Oryctolagus cuniculus: one gene and its partners. The protein of the gene in region 3 interacts with the protein of the main gene of each other region in a pairwise test. Links are inferred from orthologs where the notes say so. Each region holds a gene or a part of one and is shown on either strand. Other genes may lie near its edges.

What was found. The genes of interacting proteins can lie anywhere in the genome.
Region 1: the proteins of AP4B1 (region 3) and ZNF576 interact in binary tests that used the Homo sapiens proteins (3 or more experiments, as listed by UniProt). The two-hybrid records come from large-scale screens. The link is inferred for Oryctolagus cuniculus from reciprocal best matches to the Homo sapiens genes AP4B1 and ZNF576.
Region 2: the proteins of AP4B1 (region 3) and TEPSIN interact in binary tests that used the Homo sapiens proteins (3 or more experiments, as listed by UniProt). The link is inferred for Oryctolagus cuniculus from reciprocal best matches to the Homo sapiens genes AP4B1 and TEPSIN.

Annotation. Positions count from the first base shown.
Region 1 is NC_091449.1:12,314,557-12,318,447, reverse strand, and holds ZNF576 (zinc finger protein 576), read left to right. Parts: upstream 1-1,321; 5' UTR 1,322-1,455; exon of another isoform or gene 1,456-1,622; intron 1,623-1,951; 5' UTR 1,952-1,967; coding exon 1,968-2,052; intron 2,053-2,678; coding exon 2,679-3,103; 3' UTR 3,104-3,391; downstream 3,392-3,891. Other genes in the region: IRGQ (immunity-related GTPase family Q protein), read right to left, coding at 273-799. UniProt on the Homo sapiens protein: May be involved in transcriptional regulation.
Region 2 is NC_091448.1:1,342,181-1,346,427, reverse strand, and holds the start of TEPSIN (AP-4 complex accessory subunit tepsin), read right to left. Parts: upstream 2,801-4,247; 5' UTR 2,697-2,800; coding exon 2,649-2,696; intron 2,276-2,648; coding exon 2,203-2,275; intron 2,073-2,202; coding exon 1,981-2,072; intron 1,422-1,980; coding exon 1,328-1,421; intron 547-1,327; coding exon 479-546; intron 1-478. Other genes in the region: NDUFAF8 (NADH dehydrogenase [ubiquinone] 1 alpha subcomplex assembly factor 8), read left to right, coding at 3,024-3,107, 3,196-3,306, 4,204-4,233. UniProt on the Homo sapiens protein: Associates with the adapter-like complex 4 (AP-4) and may therefore play a role in vesicular trafficking of proteins at the trans-Golgi network.
Region 3 is NC_091438.1:56,466,861-56,470,945, forward strand, and holds the start of AP4B1 (AP-4 complex subunit beta-1), read left to right. Parts: upstream 1-1,285; 5' UTR 1,286-1,419; intron 1,420-1,551; 5' UTR 1,552-1,626; coding exon 1,627-1,739; intron 1,740-2,773; exon of another isoform or gene 2,774-3,020; intron 3,021-3,390; coding exon 3,391-3,615; intron 3,616-4,085. Other genes in the region: DCLRE1B (5' exonuclease Apollo), read right to left, coding at 1-24, 637-825.

The DNA of each region.
Region 1 (3,891 bases), on a different chromosome or scaffold from region 3:
CCGGTCTGGGGGCAGTGTTTGGGTGATAAATCTGACCTCCCCCAGAACTGTCGCTAGGAAGGGGGGCTTGTGACTGGGGAGGGGGTCAGGACCTCCAGGGGTCTTGGCCCCGGGGGGCTCACTTGGGGTGCAGCCTCCTGACCTCCCCCCCCACACTGAGGGGCTGAGCCTGGAGGAGCCTTGCGACCCTCAAAGGGCACAGTGACGGGGTGGGTGGGACACCTACAATGGGGCCCAGGCCTCCCCAGCCCAGCCTGAGACCCGGCGCTCACCTCTGCAGCGCCTCCGCCCGGCTCCGCAACGCCCCCCACAGGCGCTCCAGCTCCTCGCAGTCCTCGCTGCCAGCCCAGTCCGCAGGCAGCACGAACAGGGCGGCCGCCCCCAGCCCCGCGCGGTCCAGCAGGGCAGCGGTCTGCTCCCGCGTCTGCGCGTCACTCTGCGAAGCCCCGGGACGCAGCGCCCGCACGGCCAGCAGCGGGGCTCCCCGGGCGAGGGCAGCCCGCGCCGCCTCGCCCAGCGCCGGTGCCAAGGGCTCCCCACTGCCCTCGGCTCCGGGCAGCACCAGCACCAGCACGTCGGCCTCGGCCGCCCAGGGCCCGGGCGCGGCGGGCGGGCAGCTCAGCTCGCCCAGGAAGAGCCCGGGGCCTGCGGCTCTCAGCCTGGGCACGCCGGCGTCCGGCCGTCCCTCGGGGATTTCCACCAGGTCCACACTGCTGCACAGCGCCCCGATGAGCGCGGACTTGCCGGCCCCCGGGGGCCCCAGGAACAGGGCGGTCACGTCGCCCCTGGGCGGAGGCATGGCTGGAAGGCAAGGGGGGACGGCCGGCCGCGGTCACGGGGCACCCAGACTCCGGGCCCCTCCTCCCAGCGCCCAGGCCCCCCGGCCCCCGCTCTGCCTCCTCTCCGGCCATTGCCCCTTTCTATCCTCACCCCTCCTCCCTCCCGGATCACCCGCCCGGGAGCGCCGACGCACCTGTGAGCACAGCTGGCGGCGGCCTCGCCCCTGCGGAGCTGGGCTCTGAGGCGTGGGCGCCGGGACGCGTCCGCCAGGCCCTGCGCTGACGTCACTCAGGCCGCAGAGACTCGACCTTCCTCGCGGCGCCTGCGCAGGACGGCCGCACTGCCCGAGCGCCCCTAACAATGCGCGGGCCACAGCGCCTGCGCACTCGCGCGTAGCGCTTCGGCTTGTACGGCACGGCGGCCGCAACGTCATCATAACGCGTCGCAGTGCAAGGAAGGACCTCCGAGCTCCCCCACTGCCCGTTATTTGGAGGCCCGGGTTGGCGACTGTACTACTGCCGGATGGCAACTACGGGCTCGGCTTCGAGAGGCACCTCAGGCGGAAGCTTCGGAAGCTGCGGGAACCCCGAAATGCCACGGGCCCTACCTCGCTTCCCTGTGGGTGGCGGCGCTGTGGGGCGCCAGTGACAGGCACAGCGCGAGGCAGCCTCTGCTGTACGGAGAGGAGCGGAGGCCGGGGCGACCCGCCTGGGGAGCCGGGGGCCCAAGGCAGTGCTTGCAGGACAGTGAGGCCGGCAGCGCGTGCGGGCGGCGGGGACTCTGGGTGGAGCACCCCAGGATGGCAGAGAAGCGTGTCTTCCGGGGAGAGGCAGGCTGAAGGGGTGGGTGCCGCTGAGGCTGATGGCAGTCCAGGGTCCCACGCTCTGAGTTCAGGGAGTTGGTTTGGTGCAGCGGGAACACAGGTCACACAAGCGAGCAGGCTTTAGGGGAGCCACAGACGCGGGGAGTCCAAGCCTCTAGGTTTGAGCTTCTCTGGGGACGGCTCCATCAGAAAGAGTTCAAGGAGATGGGTACATCTTGGGGGGGGGGTCAAAGGTGGGCGAGGAGCAGCTCTGTCGATGGCGGAGGTCGTGGGATTGGCGGGCCCTCCAGGGCTGGGGACAGCCGAGCGGCCTCACTCCTCACTCATAAGGGCTCCTCCCTTGACCAGAGGGGCCGCGGTCACCATGGAGGACCCGCACCCTGAGGAGACCTTGGAGCCGCAGGAGTCGCCCAGCGAGAGGCGTCCCGGCCGCCCGGGGGGCCGCATCTGTGAGTACAGGGGCGCCGTCCAGTGTCTGGGTCCGGGGCCTGGGGTGGCCCCTGAGCTGCCCTGCTCTGGCCGCACAAGCGAGAGGAGGGTGCAGCCGGGACAGGGTGGCTTGCAGGAGAGGCTCGGCGGGAGATGCGGACGGTTCAGCTCAGCCCTGCCCTTGACTTTTCCCGAGACTGGAGCCCCCGTGCCCCTGGGCCCACGGCTGCCGCTGCCCACCGCGCACGGCTTTCGTGGGGCCGCCTCCGGCCAGTGGAGCAAGGCAGGCTGACGGGGAGCAGCCCCTGCCCCCCGGGCAGGATGCATTCACCCCCGGGACCTCACTCCGTCACCAAGTGGGCACTAGGACTTTGGGTGAGAGCCGGGGCAGAGAGGTCCCGCGGCCAGGCCAGCGCCCGTACCTGCCCAGGAAGTGTCCCGGGCAGCGTGGCTCAGAGGGCAGCGCGACTCTCGGGGTCACCTCCGGGTCCGGTGACCTCGGTGGGCCTGAGTCCACTCGTCCATAATAAGGCAGGCCCTCAACGGTCCCGTCCAGCCCGCCATGGGCGTCGTGGGTGTGGGTCTGGGGCTTGGGGGAGGCCTGGAGACCCCCGGTGGGCGACCCCCGCCTCTCCGCCTCGCGCAGGCCCCCTGGAGGCCCCGCAGTGCAGCCGCTGCCTCATCACCTTCGCCGACTCCAAGTTCCAGGAGCGCCACCTGAAGCGGGAGCACCCCGCCGACTTCGTGGCCCAGAAGCTGCAGGGGGCGCTCTTCGTCTGCTTCACCTGCGCCCGCGCCTTCCTCTCCTCCGAGGCCCTGATCGCCCACCAGCGGAGCCACGGCCCCGCCGCGCGAGCGCCCCCTGCAGGTGCACCCGCCGCCGCCGCCGCCGCGCAGGCCCGCTTCGCGTGTCCCGACTGCGGCAAGGCCTTCGCGCAGGCCGGCTCTCTGCGGAGACACCGGCAGGTGCACGAGGCCCGCACCTTCGCCTGCACCGAGTGTGGCCAGGATTTTGCCCAGGAGGCAGGGCTGCACCAGCACTACATCCGGCACGCTCGGGGGGAGCTCTGAGTGCAGCCTGAGCCCTCCCCGCGGCGATGGGGGCGCTAGGGCTGGTGGGGCCCATCTAAGGTGGGGGGTGGAGGTCCCCAGGGGGGGCTGGGCGGCTAAGCGTCCCTCCCCAGGAAGGCGAGGGCTCGTGACGCACAGGACCTGGAAGATTCTGCGCTGTGGAGGACGTGGGGCCCGTAGGGAGCCGTGAGATCAGATCATCGTTGAGAGCTTTTGTTTTTAAAAAATGAGCAAGAGGGAAATTTTATTTTTATCTCCCTCATTCCCAATTAAAGAGCTAGCTGCAGATTGCGTAATCACCTTTAATTCTCCCCAGATGGATGCCATGGGCTGTCAGGGCACCGTGCCTTGGATCTGTGCCTGGATGGGGGCGGGGAAGGGAGGCGACGCTACTGGGCGAGCCCCTCTTGAGGAGGGGAGGCGACGCTGAGAGCTCACCCCGAGGCATTGCGGGGGTGGCGCCTGCAGTGGAGGCCTTGTCTCTCCCCACTCAGAGGGGCCCCGGCGTTGAAGTGGCACCAGCCGGAGACAGCTTAGGGCTCCTTAAAATAATTCTGTGAGCGCTTCTCGTCACGGAGTGTTTTCTGTGCGTGAGCAAGCTAGCAGGCGCAGCCTCTAAAAACAGGCGCCAGAGGAAGACGTCTGCGCAGGGCAGCTCCGGCCTTTGGACAAGAAACCCACCATCCCCCCAGCACACTCAGGGCCGGGAGGGGGCGCTCAGGGCAGAGCTGGCCGAGCGCTGGAGGGAAACTGGCTTGGAGTCCAACAGAGACGCCGGCTGTTGTGTT
Region 2 (4,247 bases), on a different chromosome or scaffold from region 3:
TCCCCGCCCCCTGCTGCCTGCCCCCGCCCCTCCGTCCCCGCCCCCTGCTGCTTGTCCCCGCCCCTTCGTCCCCGCCCCCTGCTGCTTGTCCCCACCCCTCCGTCCCCGCCCCCTGCCCCCGCCCCCTGCTGCTTGTCCCCGCCCCCGCCCCTGACCCCGCCCCCTGCTGCCTGACCCCGCCCCTCCGTCCCCGCCCCCTGCCGCCTGCTGTCCCCGCCCTCCACTGCCTGCCCCCGCCCCTCCGTCCCCGCCCCCTGCTGCCTGCTGTCCCCGCCCCCGCCCCTCCGTCCCCGCCCCCTGCTGCCTGCCCCCGGCCCAGCCACTCCAGCCGACACTTCTGACCGCCAGCCGGACTCGGCTCTGCTGCAGCCGCGGAGCACAGCTGGGGTCCTGGGCGGCAGGGAACAGGAGCGCCCAGTGGACGCCTGGCGGCCATCGGCTCCCCGGGCCCCGCGAGCGGCGCTGGTCCTGGGCTCACCTGGGCAGCCGCCCGCACCTTCTGGTACAAGCTGTTCCCGTGCAGAGGGTCGGGGGGCCCCGCGAAGACTGCAGGACGGAGGCAGAGGGGGCGGGGCTGAGCGGGGCTGCTCCGCCCACGGGGGCCACCGCCCCACCCCCGGGACCCCGGGGAGCGCTCTGCCCCACCCCAGGGTGGGGGTCCGTCTCCACGGCAACCACCAAGCCAGCTCCCAGCGGAGTCACCGTCAGCACCCACAGGAAGGGAGTCCCACCCAAGTGAAGCTTCCCAGGGACGCGGTCCCCCAAGCTCTCCCTGCCGGGGGCCCCTGCACAGGCCACAGGGCCTGCGCCCACCTCTGCCCCGCCCGAGAGCCCCTCTCAGCAGGTGCCCCCAGCGCACCCGAATCTCGCCCGTCACCCCTCTGCTCTGCCCCTGCCCCCTTCCCCGGGCTGGATCTGTGCTCAGCCCAGGGCGGGCAGCTGGCAGCCGAGACAGTGGACGCAGGCCTCCGGTGGCTCCACCCCCCCCCCACAGCGCCAGCCCCGCCCCCAGGGACGCACCTGCTGGCTGCGTGAGCGAGGGGACCTCCCTAGCGCCCCCACACCCCGCGCGGCCAGACACCGCAGCAGGAGCCCCGACTGCTCCCTGCGGGCAGAGCCGGGAGCGGCCACCACGGCCGGGAAGGGGCTGTCCCTCCCGCGGGGCGTGCTGCGTCCCCGCCTTGGGCCGCCGTCCCCGCCTTGGGCCGCCGAGGCCGCCGTGGGGACCACCCAGGCCAGCGCCGCACGGCTGCACCTGCCCCGCGGCCCCGTCCCCCGCCCGGGCTGTGTGCCGGCCACGAGTCAGGGCACCGGCCTGCGGCCACACCTGTGGCTTCCTGGATGAAGGCCGAGTTGCGCCGGAGGATGAGCAGGCACGAGGAGGAGCCGTGGCCACACAGGTAGCGCAGGATCTTCAGCACCTGGGGGCGGGGCGCAGTCACGCGGGCTGTGGGCTGCACAGGACCCCCTCCTCGCGGCCGCCAGGCCCCGTCTGCCCCTCCGCCCACCGCCGGCCTCCCCAGGGCCCCCCACCCCGCCGGCCTCCCCAGGGCCCCCCCACCCCGCTGGTCTCCCCAGGACCCTCCGCCCACCGCCGGCCTCCCCAGGGCCCCGTCCGTCCCCGCCGGCCTCCCCAGGGCCCCCCCACCCCGCTGGTCTCCCCAGGACCCTCCGACCCCGCCGGCCTCCCCAGGCCCCCCCACCCCGCCGGCCTCCCCAGGACCCTCCGACCCCGCCGGCCTCCCCAGGGCCCCGTCCATCCCCCACCCCGCCGGCCACCCCAGGACTCTCCGACCCCGCCGGCCTCCCCAGGGCCCCGTCCGTCCCCGCCGGCCTCCCCAGGACTCTCCGACCCCGCCGGCCTCCCCAGGGCCCCGTCCGTCCCTGCCGGCCTCCCCAGGGCCCCGCCCGTCCCCGCCGGCCTCCCCAGGGCCCCGTCCGTCCCCCCGCCCCGCCGGCCTCCTGGACGCCGGCCCGCACCTTGAGCTTCACGTGGCCGGAGGAGCTGTGCAGCCGGCTCAGCAGGTACTCCAGCAGGCACTGGCTGCTGCCCAGGGACTCGTGCGAGATTTCTGGGGCGCACGCGTTAGGGAAGCAGCAGGCTGAGCCGGCCGCCCCCAGGGGTCAGTCACCCAGGGCCAGCGCTGGGCCCCCCACCCCGGGTCCGAGGGCGCCCGGGCGCGCCGGGACGCGGAAGGATACTGGCGATCTCCTCGAACAGGTAGCCCGGGCACGGCACGGCGTCGTCCGACGTCCCCCTCAGAAGCAGCGGCAGCTGCGGGGTCAAGAGCCCTCCGTCACCGCGGGGCGCGCTGGCCCGCAGCCGAGGCCGAGCGCCCGGCCTCCTGGGCGGCCCCGGGACCCCGGCCCGGCCCCCGCGGCTGCGGTCAGCGAGCGCCCGGGGCGGCCGGCGGCGGCGTCTCCCCCCGGAGCCTCAGCTGGGGGGCGACGGCCGCGTCCCCCTCCGCCCCTCCGGACGCCCTGGAACGCAGCCATCGGGGAGCGCCCGCCGCCCGCGGTTCGCGCCGCAGTCCCTCGGGCACTGCCCGCCGCCCGCCGCCCGCGGTCCTCCCTCTCTCGGAGCGCGGCTCCGCTCGCCCCGTGCGCTCGCCAAGAGGGCTGGGGCCGGGCGGGGCTGCGTCGCTCACCCGGTGCAGGAAGCTCAGGCGGTCCCGCAGCGGCGGGGCGGCCGCCATGGTCGCGGTCACCGCCCGGCCTGCCCCGCTTCCGCCAGGCCCTGGGCCCTCCAATCACCGTGCGGGCCTGACTCCTACCACCAATCGCTGGTGGGGGGCGGGTCCTGAGACTGGCCTCGTAAACAAATTGAGCCTGTACCAATCCGAAGTCCAGGACCGGGACAGACGAGGACAACAGCCAATTACAGGACCCGAGGCCCGGGAAGCCACGCCAATTAGGATTCGCAGGGAGCATAATGGGTGGAGGCGCCAACCTATCAAGCTGTTGGACGCCGGAAGAGGACGGACCAAGATGGCGGCGCCCGTGGATGTCAGCAGGTGCCGCTCATGTCGGCGAACGGCGCAGTGTGGGGGCGCGTGCGGAGCCGCCTCCGCGCCTTCCCTGAACGCCTGGCAGCGTGCGGGGCCGAGGTGAGGAGCCTGGACGGGTCGGGGCGGAGGCCGGGAGGGCGAGCGGCGGTCAGCGCTGGAGCAGGGATGACAGCGCCTTTCTCCGCAGGCCGCCGCGTACGGCCGCTGCGTGCAGGCCTCCACGGCCCCGGGCGGCCGCCTGAGCAAGGACCTGTGCGTGCGGGAGTTCGAAGCCCTGCGGAGCTGCGTTGCCGCCGCGGTAGGTGGACGCGGCCCCCCGCTCCTCCGTGGCCGCCTGTGGGCTCTGGCGTCGGCAGGGCGCGGGTGTGCGGGGCCGCGGGGCGGACACGAAGACCCCGCCCTGGGTCGCAGCTGCCCGTGCGGGCCCCGCCGCCCCCTCTGACCGCGGGCGTGAGCGGCCCAGCTCGGGGTGCAGGTGGTGGTCGCCGTGGCGCCGTTTGCGGGGACCCCGCGGGCCGGAGAGGACCCGGCGGGCGCTGTGCCCAGGGCTGGGACCGCAGGGGCCCCGCTGCTGGAGACCCCGGCCCGGGAAGCCGGGTGTGGAGAGGCGCTCTGGCCCCGCCCTGCGGATCCGGTGGGTGGGCTGTGGCTGTGGGGGTCTCGCGGCGCCCAGCCAGGGCGGGGTCTCAGGACAGGAGCCGCAGCAGCCCCCAGACCCCCGGCGTCTCGAGGCGCAGGTCACGCGCCCTGTTTGCTCTGCCGCCGGCCGGGGCTGACCAGGACTGCCCAGCCGGACCCGGCCAGCCTCTGTCTTCCCAGCGTCTCACAGGGACTCCGAGGACGCTGGCCTCCTGCCTGTGACCCTGCGGGAGGGGCTTTGGGCTGCCTCCTGCGAGCCCCGGGTCCAGGGTCAGGAGGAGGGGCCTGGGCGCGGTGGTGCCCAGAGCCTGAAGCAGACGGGGCAGCAGATGGTGGGCGTCCTGGCTCCGTCGTCCTGCGCGGACGAGCAGGAGCGCTGACCCCGGCCCCCAGCCCTGACCGTGGCCCCGGGCGCGGGGGCTGAGCCTGGCGCAGCCCGGGAAGGCAGCGGACGGCCCCTGAGGGAGACCCGGCCCGGCTGTCGTGGGCACTGGGGAGCGAGCGGGGGCCGGGGGGCCTCTCCCCCCTGCTAACAGGCGCCTGTGCTTGCTTTCAGGCCAGGAAGGCGCCACAGGGAGGCCGCTAGGAGGACCGGCCGCC
Region 3 (4,085 bases):
GGCTCGGATCCACTTCTTGGACACCTGGGGGAGCAACAGGGCATCCCTGGGACTATCCCGTATACAAACCAAGGAAAGCTGACAGAATCCTGAGTCACCCTGGGGCAGAAGCCGGGCTGAGGATTCCCAAGCATCCACCCATCCTCCTCCCGTTCCCCACCCTGCCCTTCAGACAACTTCCAAGCATTCAGAAAACAATCCAGTCAAGGATTCTCAGATTTTCTCCAGGTCCTAATAATCCCTTGAGGCAACTGTTAAAAAAAAAAAATTCCAGCCAGATTTTTAGGATCCACACCAACCTACTGAATCAGATCGGGGGGCGTGGGAGGGGGCTGGACGATGTCTATTTCCCCAGCCTAGGTGGATTAAGATAAGACACGTTTAGGAAACATGGGCCTAGTTTATGGGAAAAGGTAGGGATAATTTCTGTGGGTGGGCTGAAAGGTTTCCCCAACTAAAATACTCAAATCGGTGAGTTGGAAGCCACGCTCGGCTGGATTCAAACTACTCCACATTTGTCAAAATCAGCCGTCCGGGGGGCCCACTCTGATTCCCAAGGCTGTGACAGGTCAGAATTCCCCACCCGGACGCCAGGACCAGCTCTGCGGAGGCCGACTCCGGTCCCCTGCCCCGTACCTGTCGCTGACGATGCAAGAGGTGGGCAGTGATTGGGGAGCAGTAGAGGGGCCGGGCCCAGGTGCTGGACAGGCCGACCGTGTGGTCCGAGTGCATGTGGGATAAAAAGAAAAGCCGCGCGCTACCAGCCCGGCGCAGGCTCCAGAAGTCCACAGCAATGGGCGTGTGCGGGATCAGGACCCCGTTCATGGTGGCGGGGCTCGAGTCACCGGTGGGGTCTTCCTGGGAACTGCGTTCCAGCGCCAGGCTTCCACCACGGCGCCTCAGACGTCATGCTGGGGCAGGAACTGGGCCACGGGCCCTAAGGGAAAAGTCAGCTCAGTAGAGAAGGCGCTAGAGTGGGCACCGTCGGAGCCAGGACGCAAACCGCGGAAGACGCGGCACAGAGAGCCACTCCTTCCCGCGCGGGAGCCCAGGGCCGGCCCCAGCACTCAAAGCGCGCGCTGCAGGGAGGAGACAGGCCGAAGCAGCCGATTTCCGATGGCCCGCCGCAGCTCCACCAGAGGTAGCCTCGCGGCTGCGCTGAAAGGTGAGAGGTTGGGGGAAGGGCATCCCTAAGGTCGGGATCGCCACCGCGCTCGGCGCTCGCAGGGAGAGGCAACTGCTAGAGGAGGGCCCTCCGCGAGGGGGCGGGACTTCCGCCGACAGCGCGATTGGGCCTATCGGAGCCGGCAAGAAAGGCTGGAACTGGAGAGGGCGGGGTTGTCCGCGGCGGGGTTGCAAATAGGACGCGGGGCCTAGAGGTAGCGGGTGTGATTTGTAGGCGGAGCGATCGGCCTGCAGGTGCGGGGTGAGGTCTGAAGGGCCCGGGGCGGAGGGAGGGAGCTCCCCAGGGTGCGAGGCTCCCAGGACTCGGGCTCCGGCTCCGGGGTGGGGTGGGGTGTCTTCTCCCTGACCGACGTTTCCTTCGTTCAGGCTCCGCATCAGGACCTGAAGGCGTCCACGCTTTGCCGGGGCGCGGTGGGAAGTGGCCCGAGACTGTTGGCGAGGATGCCTTACTTAGGCTCGGAGGACGTGGTGAAGGAGCTGAAGAAGGCTCTGTGTAACCCTCACATTCAGGCTGATAGGCTGCGCTACCGGAACGTCATCCAGCGAGTGATTAGGTACCGCCCACTGCCCCCCAGCCCCTGGGAAGGAGTGCACGCCGTCACCCGCGGCGGTTGTGCGGTGGGGGTTTCCTCCTGCTTCTCAGGAGCGTGCTGGTGGGAGAGCCCCGGGCTCAGGCTGTAACAGGCACACTGAACCGCCGACTTCCGGATCTGGGATAATGTTTAGCACAGACCTCCTTTTGTTGCTTCAGATGCCCTTGTCCTACTGCCTGCCTGGCATTTCCACCAGGATAGTTCATCAAAGGTTTGCCCAAAAGAGCACCAAGGTCCTTCCCCCAGCCCCGAACCTGCTCTTCCGCTTGTGTCTGTGTCAATGAGGGACGCCAGCCGGCCGTCTGTATGAGTCAACCTTGGCACCTGAGCCTCACTTCTCTTGTCAGCTGGGATGATCTCACAGTTCTAAACATCCAGCCTCTCCGCGTCTCTCTCTCTTATTGGCACTGCTGGTGTTCTGGTTCAGGCCTTCATTACCAAAGCCAATTGCAATAGCTAACTAGTAGGTCACCTTGCCCCATTTAAGTCAGAATGTTTCCACTGTAACAAATCTGAACACATAATTCATGCCTACAGCTGTGGTTCACAGAATTTACTATGCACAAAAGCCCCCTCGGATGCCTTTTTAAAAATATATGTATTTTGGCCGGCGCGCGGCTCACTAGGCTAATCCTCCACCTTGCGGTGCCGGCACACAGGGTTCTAGTCCTGGTCGGGGCGCCGGATTCTGTCCCGGTTGCCCCTCTTCCAGGCCAGCTCTCTGCTGTGGCCAGGGAGTGCAGTGGAGGATGGCCCAAGTCCTTGGGCCCTGCACCCCATGGGAGACCAGGAGAAGTACCTGGCTCCTGCCATTGGATCAGCGCGGTGCGCCGGCCGCAGCGCACTGGCCGCGGTGGCCATTGGAGGGTGAACCAATGGCAAAAGGAAGACCTTTCTCTCTGTCTCTCTCACTGTCCACTCTGCCTATCAAAAAAAAAAAAAATATATATATATATGTATTTTTCATCCTGTCTAACAATGGATTCTGATTTCAGTAGAGTGGGATGGAACCCAAGAATCTGTAATCTACAGAATGAGGTCCAAGCTTACTGTAAGCACCCAGCGACCACCCTGCTGATTCAGCTACTCCGAAAGAATGCAGCCTTCTTTCCCACGTTGTAGCATCGCCTCTCTGTCACATCTGCCACGAACTCCTGCTCATTCAGTCGAAGTATTACTTCCTCTGAGAAGCATTTTCTGGCTTCCTGTCTGGGTTGAACCTCTGGGTCCCCTCTGAACCTTGTAGGTTACTTTTGTTTAAATAGCTTAGCTATGGTACTATAATTAGTTTATTCTTGTCTCCCTCCTTAATAGGCTTTGGGTTTCTGGAGGCCTGAGATCATGATTCCCCCCCCCCCCCCCCAAGAGTATGTCCCTAGAGTATTTTCCTGGAATGTAAGAGCTGAATTTCACTGGGATGGACTAGGCATTTAGTAAGTTTGCTGAATGAATAGAACGATGTTTATTGCAGGCCCGTGGTGTGAAGTATTGTGTGTAGACCTGTGCGCTTTCCAGGAGATCATGCACTAGCTGGAGAATGTATAAGGAGAATAGTCTTGTATGTTGGGGATTTTGCAGTTCCCTTCCTCCTGCCATGTTCTCTTGGTTTCAGGCACATGACACAGGGCTTGGACGTGTCTGGTGTTTTCATGGAAATGGTGAAGGCCAGTGCCACTGTAGATATTGTTCAGAAGAAATTGGTTTATCTGTACATGTGCACATATGCCCCCCTGAAACCAGATCTGGCGCTCCTGGCCATCAACACACTGTGCAAAGACTGCTCAGATCCTAACCCGATGGTGCGAGGGTTGGCACTACGGAGCATGTGTAGCCTCAGGTGAGCACCCTCATCTCTACCTGGCCCTCTGTAGCTAATGAATTCAGAAAGTCACAAGGGCAGGAGTGTTTGGCCTGGTGGTTATGATACTGGCCAAGATGTCTGTATCCCACGCAAGAGTACCTGGGTTTGAGTCCTGGCTTTGGTTCCCAATTCCAGCTCCTTGCTAATGCAGTTTCTGGGAGGCACCAGGTAATGGCTCAAGTATGCGGCCCTGTCACCCACATGGAAGATCTGCATCAAGTTCCTGCCTTCCAGCTTTGGACCCATCCAGCCCTGGCTGTTGCTGGCCTTTGGGAAGTAAACCAATGGACAGGAGCTCTATCTCTCTTGTTTCTCTGCCTCTGAGAAATCAAAAGAAGAAAAAAAAAAAGGTCATGAGGCAGATTTTTAAGGAAGTTTATTTGAGCTCCTTAAATCTGGGGAAAACACTGCTGTACTCTGACTGAGCTCAGATTTCCAGCCATTAG